Linked DNA regions of Caenorhabditis elegans. The protein of the gene in region 1 purifies or fractionates together with the protein of each later gene. This does not show direct contact. Each region holds a gene or a part of one and is shown on either strand. Other genes may lie near its edges.

Region 1 (5,351 bases):
TTTCACCCAGGAAATAAAAGTGACGAATCAAATGTACTAATTCACAGAATTTTTCCTTAAAAACAATATCCCGTTTCCGAGAATAGATTTTCAAAAGCACTCCGTTTTTTGATTAGAAATGGCGAATTGAATGAGTGTATAGCTGGAAAGGACTACGGTAGTTTATGAGGACATGCCAACGACTTGTTCGTTACATTGAGAAACTAAGTTTCAAAGATCACGGTAAAATTATATCACTGTTGAAATTGCGGAAATTTCCGAGACTCGGCTATTGCCAAAATTAGATGCAAACTATATATATAATATACTCGTGTTAAATTACAAATCGTGAAAAGTTTTGAACTGACGCCAGTCCCAGATACAAAAATATCAACAAAAAAAACGTATATTTTCAGCTTAACCAAAGTCAGCGTGTCTGAAAATCCGATGATCGTTTGTTGAGTATTTGGTTTCATGAAAAAGATTTGTTTTTCCGAACGGAAACTTTAATTTTGTATTGTGACGACATCAATTTTTGTTTTTTGATCAATTGGTATTTTTTTTTGCAGTAGAATCACAGTTAAATATACGACCGTTTATTATAAATTCAGAAAAGTCTCATGATGTGGTAGAAAAATAATTGAACTAAAAGTGGAAATTAATTGAATTTTTTTTTAATTTCAGAAAGTGAAGATGAAATCGGTTAAGCTTGAATAAAGTTTGAAAAAGTTTTGGGAAAAATAAAAATTGTTGAAGTCTAGAAAACTCTTCTGTGGGAACCTGTGACTACAGCGATTTATTTATATAAAAATTTCCAGAAAAATGTAGACGTGGCGGAGAACTCTAAAAAAACTCTTTCAAGGGAACCCACACCGTGGCCGACAATAGAGAGTTTCAGCAAAATGAACGAGAATTCCGAAAAACTCCTCAAATGATGAGACCGGAAATCTAGAAAAACATATTTCGGAGATGTCTGCCTCGTGGCGGGAATTCTGAAAAATATTTTCTGGGAATCTGTAATATGGCCGAGAATTGAAAAAAAAACTCTTCCAGGATTGTTGGCAATGTGGTCGAAATTTCTGAAACATTTTTCCAGAGCTCTGATATGTCTGTTTTAAAACCGTTCTCTAGCCTCCAACAACATGGACTACGTTCAAAAAACTATTCTAGAAAAAACCCTCGTGTGGCCCTGATTTCTTAAAACTTTTCCATAAACAGAGTTAAATCATATTGTTTAGTTTCCCATGCAGAAAGTCAGAAAGGTTTTGTATTAGTACAGTGAGAAATTTTGATTTTTCTGAATATATAATCTTGCATTTTGTATCTCTTCTACTAACATACACACAATTTGATTTTCCTCGTTTTTTCCCATTATTTCGTAGTTGTACAGCTTGTGAGGTGCCAGGTGTCTTCTTTTTCCTGACCAACACAAAAAATACATGGAAACACCAAATGCGCACATAAATTTATGGTTTGGTGACCGACTAGCTTTTAGACGAATTGGAAAAGGAAGGAATAAAGAGTGACTAGAAAATTAGTGGTCTCAATGAAAAATTGAGTGATGCAGAAGAGAGGATGAAGCACAGATTTGTATTATTTGAGGTCATCTGGATTAAGAGGGCTGAACGGAATGTGTGACATTTGATGGGTGGGAGGGAAAGAGCTTCCTTCACAATTTCCTATTTTTAGAATGGGAGATATTTTGTAGGATTTTCAAATGTTTTTTTCAGGAAATTTCAAAAAATTCCAAAAAGAGACTGCAAGAGTGAAACTTTAACCTTTTTGCAACAGCTAACAGGCCTTCAGAACTCGCCAAAACATTTTTAATCCTATAACCACCCCCATGGTAATATAAAAAGAGCACCACAAAAAAGCGTTGCCATTTATAACCAAAAAACGTGCAAATCACTAATAATATTTGACATGGTTTAACATTGAGTGATTAGTGTAGTATATCACTAGTCTATTCTAGAATACCCAAATAATATGTCATTCCAATTTGTTTACCTCACAAATATCTGAACATCGATGTCTTTTTCCATTCTAAATAGGTTTTAGATAGCGTCATAGATATGATGATAATAATCTCATATGATATGCGCATTTATTTTTTGAACTCAATATTTAATGTTTATTAAGAAATGTTATCAGAAGATAAAGTATTAGGAAGTTTCTTGAACTTTAGATGCCTTGATGATCAAAAGAGAACTTGAAATTTTGAAATTATCACAACGTTCAGCTACGGCGGGAATCCATAGAAAACTTTTTATGCTGTCTGTGCTTATTTTTAAGAAACCTACAAACACCCGCCGCCCATGAAACCCATGCCTGCCTTCCAGACGCCTCATGCAGCTCCTAAAACGTCTTCATTTAAGTGACAATGGTTCAGATAAACTTCCAGTTCCAACACGTAAGCTCCAGATTCTAATACTTTGCAGGAAGCTAGGCAAAAGATAGACATGTACGCATGTAGTTCTGCCTACTGTAGGCGTGATAAAATGAACAATTTTAATCTTGTTTTGTGATCCTATAGATTGAGATTTTGATATACCAACTTTCAGCAACTATGTCGATTATTCTAGTGTTGCGAATTTAGTTTCAAACATAATAATTTCAAATAATTACGGACAATTATCTCTTACGTTTTGCTTTCAAATTCTAAAGTTATACTATAATTGCTGTCCCCTTCTTTCAACAAAAAAATCAGTATTCAAGTCTCCAATTTCGTAGGAAGCCCTCTCCTGGTGTTCTCAAGCACCAACCAAATGCTCAGAACGTCAAAACAAGTGACCAGCTCGCTCGGAGCAGAAACTGCTTCTTACCACTATTAGTAGTCGTCCGTTGACTCCCCCACACCGCTCACTTCCAGAATTCAATCGATGCATAGAAAGAGAGAGAGAGAGAGAGAGAGAGAGAGAGAGAGAGAGAGAGAGAGAGAGAGAGAGAGAGAGAGAGAGAGAGAGAGAGAGAGAGGAAGAGATGAGGAGACGTCAAAAGAAAAAAGAGTGACGGAGACGTGAAGGGCGGCGCCGTCTGAGAGTAAGAGAGCTCAGAGAGTGTGTGTGCTCCAAGCTCCGCCTATCTCTTCGCCATTTTTTCGCGCAAGCGCCCTATGGAGTAGCGGGGGCCGCATCTCTGTGTCATCCGCATGCGCTTCTTCCACTCAATTATTGTACTACTATTCTCCATTTCTACAGGATCTGCTTTTCTTTTGTACGGTAGGTTTTTACTTTTTTTTAAATTGAAGTATTTTTTCCCGAAAATTGTCGCCTTCTGACTTAACCCGTAATCTTTCTTCTAATTCTCTATAATCACATGTATTCTCGAGTTCAAATTTTCATTTTATTATTGTTCTGTTTCTGATTATTTTGACTACATTTTATGAACTCTTTTTGTCCCCACCACATTCCAACGTTTTTTTTTTGAAACTTTATAAAGAAAAGTCCACTGACAAAATGTTGCGAATTTTATTTCATTCAAATTGCCAGTTGAAAAATTTTTTTATAGGTTTTTTTGTTGCTAAACCTAATTTAATTCCAACATTATTACTTTCCACCGCCCCTTTTAATTACGAATAAGTTAATGACTGTAGATATTTATATAAAAATTGAGATTTAAAAAATCAAAAAATTGTCTGATTTTGTTTTGAAACTCTTCTTTTCAATCATTTATAACTTATTTGTAACTTCACTTATAAAAAATTATCAACTGACAAAATTTTGAATTTTTTAATAATTGTTTCTTGATAAAAAATCTGATGGCATTGGTGGCTGACTTTCGAACTATGGTTTTAAAAAAATCAATTTCAGATTTGTTTCAAACAGATTTTTTTTAGTGAATACACATGTAATTAAATTTCCATTTAAAATATTTTGGAATGTTTTTTCTATACTTTTTTTGACAATTTTCTCTACAGTTTTCTACAATTATTAAGATTCTAACCAGAATATTTGAAGTCTGACGTCACAATTTGTTCTCCAATTTTCCCCATTTCTCACAATTCTTCCAGAAATTGGACATGCTCTTCGATCGCTTCAAAAAGAGCAATTTCGAGTCCAAAAATGTAGTCGTTTTCCCATATTTCTTCCATCTTTTTTCCTTTTTTTCACATTTTTTTCTCATTTTGGTTTTGTTTACCACACATCTTCATCCTTTTCCAGTACCTTTAAAATACTTGTTGTTTTTCGTTCGTTGCTTTCCTTATTATTTTCCACACTACCTTTTTTTTATATTTTCTAGGTTGTAAATATTCTTATAAGACAATTATTCAATACACTAGAGGGCTCTTTGATCGTTCTAAAAATGCACAAACTAATTTTGAGGAGTCTCAGAGCTCTCCCTCTCTTTGAGCTCTCGGAGCATCAAAAGAAGTAAAGTGGAAATTGGAAATGTTTCTGAATGAGGAAGGAAGACCCTGTTGGTTTTACGAGCTAATGAAGCCCTAGACACTAGTTTTAATCCCGAAGTTCACAAGTTCCAAATTGATGACTTTTTTGAGGAAATCTAGGACTTCAAATTAGTATAACTTTGAACTATAAAATAATAAAATATCTTAAAGTATTTCGAGAGTAATTTAGGCAATATGTGTAGCTTGGATGGTAAACTAAATTAGGAAAGTTTGTGATAGATTTTTTGTTTTTAGGAATTATTTAATTAAAATACTGTTTATACTTTTTGTTTTCTGCTGAATTTAAATTGATTACTTTGTTGACAACTTTTTGATTGCTCAAATGATTTTCGAGCTAGATTTGTTGAAAAAAGTTATGGGAATTATAAATTTCTGGTCAATTTTCACGAGAAATTCTCACGGAAATTTGATTTCTGGCAAGAAGGTGTGAGAAGTTCTAGGTAGTGGAAAGTTGACAATCTGAAAATTTTAGCAAAAATTAGCTAAATTAAATGCAACAATTTCGCAAATTTGTATGCATATGTTGCTAATTTCGACTAGTAATAACTGTAAACCTTCAAAATAAAATTGAACTCTTGACACTACTAGCCATAAATCAAATACTTCTTCTTCTTCTTCTTTTTTCAAAACCCACTTGGTCAAGTCTAAGACAACAAAAACCTTCTAACATCATTGCCCCGGACCCTTATAAGTAGCCCAAAGTTGATTCTATTTATTCCTTCTCCTCTCTCTCACTCACTCTTAAAAAAGAACGACTACATCTAAAAATACGTCCTCCGAGCAGCATTGACTCCCCCGCCATGGCGTCATATTTATGTGTGTATGCTTGTTGACAATTCCCCCACCACCAAAAGTTGTCTGATCTACATCATTGCCCTTTTTTCAACAAAAAGAATGCTATCATCAAATTCTTTACTCATTCTGACTCTTTTTGCGTGACAACTGTTTCCGCTATTCAAGAAGC
Region 2 (5,351 bases), on another chromosome or scaffold:
CTAAGCTTAAATAAAATTAAACAAAAAACGTTTTCAGGTTACTGAGCCTTTCCCCACACAGTACCCAACACTTATTCCCTACGCACGGGAGAGCAATCCCGAAGAAGAGCTTCAATTAGCCACTGCACCAACATCAAAAATTCGAAGTGAAGGGAGGATCACATCCGAACAGAAAATGGATTCCATCAGAGATTTCCGAATGAAACTGTACAAAGCTTTTAAAAATAGGCCGAAATTGTCGAGGATGATTAGAAAAAGTAATGGTGAGCAACTTTTAATAACTTTTAAAACTCAAATGTTTTAATTTTCTTCCAGTAAATGATGTAGTCGAAATGAATGATGGGTTTCCTACAATAATGGACAAAAACCGACAAATAATTCTCTCCAGAACTGAACCAAACTGGCAGTCATTGAATACTAGAAAACCTAATCAAACCTATGGGCGAGATCAGAATGGGAACTTGATTCCACTACTCGGGTTGGAACCAGCTGCGAATTTTGTGGATACAAAACAAGGGAGTCCAATAGAGTGATCATCAGTATCGCTTTGACTTTTAAAATTCTATAACTTTAGGCCTTACCCCCCAAGAGAGATTCGATATGCCTACCGTACTACGAATCGGCAGCCTGTTGTCTACGTTCCTTCTGCTTCACCCGTTAATCAGCCATCACATGCTTCGAATACTGTACCCGTGGCTGTCGCTTCATACCTAGTAACTGTATATTTTGAAAAACGCATTTAATCAAAAACTATTATAATAAAGCACGATATAAAATACCAGCATCTCTTTTCAGGCAAATCCATCATCACAACCAATTCAACTCCATATTTTGCCACCAATTCCATCTCCCCAGCCACAAATAATCTATCAACAAACGACACCATCAAGCCAATTTGTTGCTTATTCAACCTTTGCACCACCTATAGAGCCATCGAATGAATGTGGAAATGGTCAGTGCAAACCAGAATCGGATGAAGATAAATGCAACAGCCAGCGATTACGGGACATTATCTTCAATGTAAGTAAGTCCATGATTAACAGAATTCTAATTAAATCGAGTTCCAGAATATTGTTTCCGGCGATGCTGAAGCTTCCAAAAGAGCAGTTCAAAGTGCAGCTGAAGCTGAAACTGGTTTATTTTTTGATGCAATCTGCGGCACTGGTTTCTTCAGCTACATTGCACACACTGATGAGTTCTGTCTGGCATCGTCTGGTGGTGTCAACTGTTATGTTTTTGCACCAATCTGTCAAATTGATTCTCAAAATCAGCAGAAAAGGACTTCGAAAAAATTAGTTAAATTGAGCAAAAATTAATTCTTATTGAATAGCTCGGTCCACTTCTTTTCTACGGGTGAATGTTTAACAGAAATAAAGTTTTATTTCGGGTAAAGAAATTTACACTCGGTGGGCGCGATGGATGATGGACAGGGGGATAGGCAATAAAAGGCTTTTGATTATCAAATAAAAAATGTTCAGGAATTTTTTACCACGAATGTTTGCCATTCTTCTTCTGCATGGATCTCAATGGCTCTCCTTGAAGGTACGGGTTGACTTTGTGTGCTGAGCTTGGGATTGAACGCTTGCGACGTGGAACATACTCATCGGAGCTTCGCTTGTCATGGAACTTCTTTGCGATTGTGTTAGCGTGCATGTTGTTTTCTTCAAGGATTTTTTGGAGGGACTCACTGACGTCTTGAGCTTCTTTCTCGGCACAGCTATAACATTTACATGTTTAATTTAAATGTTCCACATCAAACTTACTTGAACATATGCTCCTGGTCGCAGATGCAGTGTTGATCTGCTTGGTAGTTTCTAGAAAACTCTGCACTGTTTTCAAACTCCTCCAAGCATCCGTGTTCCTTTGTGAACCCAACTGGGCATGGATTTGGTGGCTCGCAGTATGCGGGAAGAACGTTGTCTACTTTCACTTCTTGCCTCTCTTGGAAATTGTCCTCCTCAAGAAGTTTCTGTTCTCCCTCGCCAGCTCCACCAGAGATATGCTTGACTCCAAAAGAGGAGAGATCCGGAAGATTTTCAGAGTCACGTGAGATGAGATCAATGAAATCTCCGGATGGAAGAACAAAGTCTCCAGCCTGAAATTTTGAATTTTGAATAAGCTGACTAAATGTATACCTTTTCTTCAATTTTCCTTGAGTATCCTTAATCCGAAAAAAAATGGACTAGGAACACTAGATAATAATCTTAGTGTGAGTCATCACTAAAAATTTTGATTATGGCGGAAATAAATTTGCAATCCTTGAAACTCAACTTTCACAGTTTGAGGCTTTGGAGTTCATATATGAAAATTAATACAGATACCTTAATCGTTAAAAAAGTAATATTTGAAAATTTCAAAATCTATTTCACTTGCTCAGGAATTAGAAAAACACTAAGCCTACAAAACAAAATATGAGTTTACTTACGTTTTCCAAATCTAATCCATAGATAGCTGCAACTCCGACAGTAAAGAAAACCAAAGAAACGGCACCGATCATTCGGGCAACCGTGTTTGGTGCTGAAATGTGAATGCGTCGCTTTGGCTCTCCTGGCAGACGAAAAGAGAGCCGACTGCCAGAGTAGCAGACAGACGGTTATAGACCGAAAGGATTTTGAGGCTCGCAGAACAGCAGAGTAAAGACGCTGAAGAGAGAGGAGCTCATGTGCTCTTCTCCTCGCTCATGGCTGACGGCTTCGAGGAAAATCGATGAGCTGAAGGCGTTGTGTGAGTGTTTTGTGAGTTTTCATGTGAGTGTGTTCTCGCACGTCATTTTTTTGGACAAGATGGAGGAAGATGAAGAAGAAAAAACTGAAAGGAGGTCTAAAGCTCTTCTATTCGTTTCTATGATTAATACTTGGAAGTATAAAAAACAGGATATATTATGGGGTTTCAAAGATTTTGAGGACAACGATTATTGTACAAACAATTAATTTATTTTAAAATGAAACATTGTTTTTCATCGGATAAACATTGTAAAATGTCACAGCCTGTTTTTAACCATGTTCCATGTTCCATGTTGTTGTTGTGAAATAACTTGTAGTAATTCGCAAGTAAATTCACCCATGTTGGTTACGCAAATGTTGACTTTTTGAACATGTAATAAGTTCATCTGTTCAAACTATTAACTTTTTGAACTTTCCTTTGTAATCTCAGTTATCTTATCATTAAGTTTACAAGGTCTTCCGTTAATTCTTTACAAAGAAAAAAAATTAACCACCTTGATTGTAAGATTGAAAATTAAAAAAAAACGCAAGTGAAAATATCAATTTTCATCAAATTTAAGAAAATAATTAAAGTAAAGTTTTTTGTAACATCACAATTGTATTGACTACTCACATTGATCTTTGTGGAAGTGTTATGGATACGTACTACCGTGGGAACAAGCTGGGTTCTACTAATCTCAAAACTTATTTTATGTTTACATTTTGACTCGAGAGTCCTTCTTGACTATACTTTATTATGAATTGGATAGTTCATCAGCAAGGTTCATCGAACACTATGTTTTACAAGTGTCGTCCGCCAATAGAGTTTAGATTTCACAAACAAACTATTCTTGGTTTAAAGTATGATGGTCTGGATCGCAGTTCAAGAAGTGCCACCTCTACAATATGGGTTTACGATAAATGCGGTGAGTTTTGGAAAAATAGTATTTTCCTGGTATCTTTAATAGTTTACACGCTAAGCAATGTGCTAATTTCAAACCTGCTATCTCAAATACTCGTGAGCAAAGTTAAAGTTCCATCCGTACATGTTGCTAATTCAAAATGATCATTGACGTCTGCAACGACTTATTTCCCTACAAAATTTCCGTATTTCTCCCTCTATCACACGTAAGAAAAAGGGGTTGTCTATAGTATGACCTCCTTTATCAACGGCGATAACAGTCGGAAATCGGGTGAAAAGGAGGCGGAACATTCAGTTTCTGCACAAATCAGCTATTTTTGTCGCGATACTCTGAATATTTTTTGGCACTGATTGTAAAAAATTAATTTCGCACATTCGTTAACAAGTTTTTTTTTCAGAATTCGACAATATGATTGTTCCGTTTATGAGGCATAGACCAAGAAATTGGGATCAAGAGTCTAGATATACTGCACCGAGATTGATGTTGTGTGATACAGTAAGTGGTCATACTAAAGTTCGGATTCGAGATATAGGGTTTTAAGAAATATAACAAAAGTTTCTGAAAATATAGAATTTTATCAATGGTGAGAAGCATGATGTTGCACACGATTAGTTGAACAGTGACTTGACATTTTGATGCCTGCGTGACAGGTATGCCAGGTATGAGATGTTAGGTTTTAATTTTTAATCATACACAAAATGTTGAAAAATTCATTTTTCACTGCACGAAATAAAATTTGCTTTCCAACCATTTCGTTTTAGTAGACTAATTTTCATATTATAATGTATGCTTTAAACAAAAAGTATACTGTAAACAAAAATTTGTTAGAATTGTTTTTTTAATTCAAAACATTTTTTTGACAAATTTTTCGAAAACTTTTTCATGTCGGAATTCGGCGGAACAACTTTTCTAAGAATAGGATTTTAACAGAATACGTTGAAAAACAAACGCTAAAAACTCCTAGAACATTTATGAAAAATTATAGGAATCTCTTTTTTTATATTTCAGTAAAAAATTTTAAAAAATCAGGTAAAAACTTTTTTAGAGGAGGACTAACGATTTTGAAAGTAGACCCAAAATGAGCTCAAATGAGCAAATGTTTTACAGTGCATTTTTTTCCAACTTCTACGACTTTAAAGGCGCGCGCATTTTCGCGCAATGTTCTCGCCACGCGCATTCCATTGAATTGTTGAGCGCGTGGCGAGACCAATGACGGGGCCATTTTGTATAAATGCGCGCGCCTTTAAAGTCGTAGAAGTTGGAAAAAAAAACACTGTAATGAAACTTCTCAAAAGTGTTTCAAAAATGATTCAAAATTTCGAAAAAAATACACTGCTTTTAAATAGCTAAAATCTCGAATTGAGAATTATCATCCTTTATTGAATATTTTTGTAGTTTACTCATTTCATTTCGTCGATTAAAGAATATTTAAAGCCGATAGGCAACCTATTTCGATGATTTTTGATTACCTATTGGCTTCATATGCACCTTAATCGACGAAATTAAGTGAGATAAACGAAAATATTTAATAAAGGACGATAATTCAAAAGTCATCATCGGGCCGCTGCGACTCAGAAAAATGGCCAAAGTTCGAGAATTTAACTAAAAACAGTGTTATTTTTTTGAAATTTCGAACCGCCGTAAAAAATTTTTGAAACATTTTTCAGAAGCTTTATTATGAAATAATGAATTGTTCATTTGAGCTCATTTTGGGTCTATACGTTCA

What was found. The genes of interacting proteins can lie anywhere in the genome.
Region 2: the proteins of ida-1 (region 1) and sbt-1 fractionate together in Caenorhabditis elegans (co-fractionation; one large-scale study listed by BioGRID). This does not show direct contact.

The regions. Positions count from the first base shown.
Region 1 is NC_003281.10:5,752,468-5,757,818, forward strand, and holds the start of ida-1 (Receptor-type tyrosine-protein phosphatase-like ida-1), read left to right. Parts: upstream 1-3,071; 5' UTR 3,072-3,127; coding exon 3,128-3,197; intron 3,198-5,351. UniProt on the Caenorhabditis elegans protein: Regulates dense-core vesicle (DCV) trafficking and/or secretion. Probably by controlling DCV trafficking, plays a role in the AVG neuron-mediated formation of the right axon tract of the ventral nerve cord.
Region 2 is NC_003283.11:20,826,352-20,831,702, forward strand, and holds sbt-1 (Neuroendocrine protein 7B2), read right to left. Parts: upstream 2,531-5,351; 5' UTR 2,498-2,530; coding exon 2,426-2,497; intron 2,096-2,425; coding exon 1,764-2,095; intron 1,718-1,763; coding exon 1,486-1,717; 3' UTR 1,364-1,485; downstream 1-1,363. Other genes in the region: grl-14 (Ground-like domain-containing protein), read left to right, coding at 38-263, 316-529, 575-719, 796-1,020, 1,068-1,316; num-1 (PID domain-containing protein), read left to right, coding at 3,460-3,628, 4,023-4,120.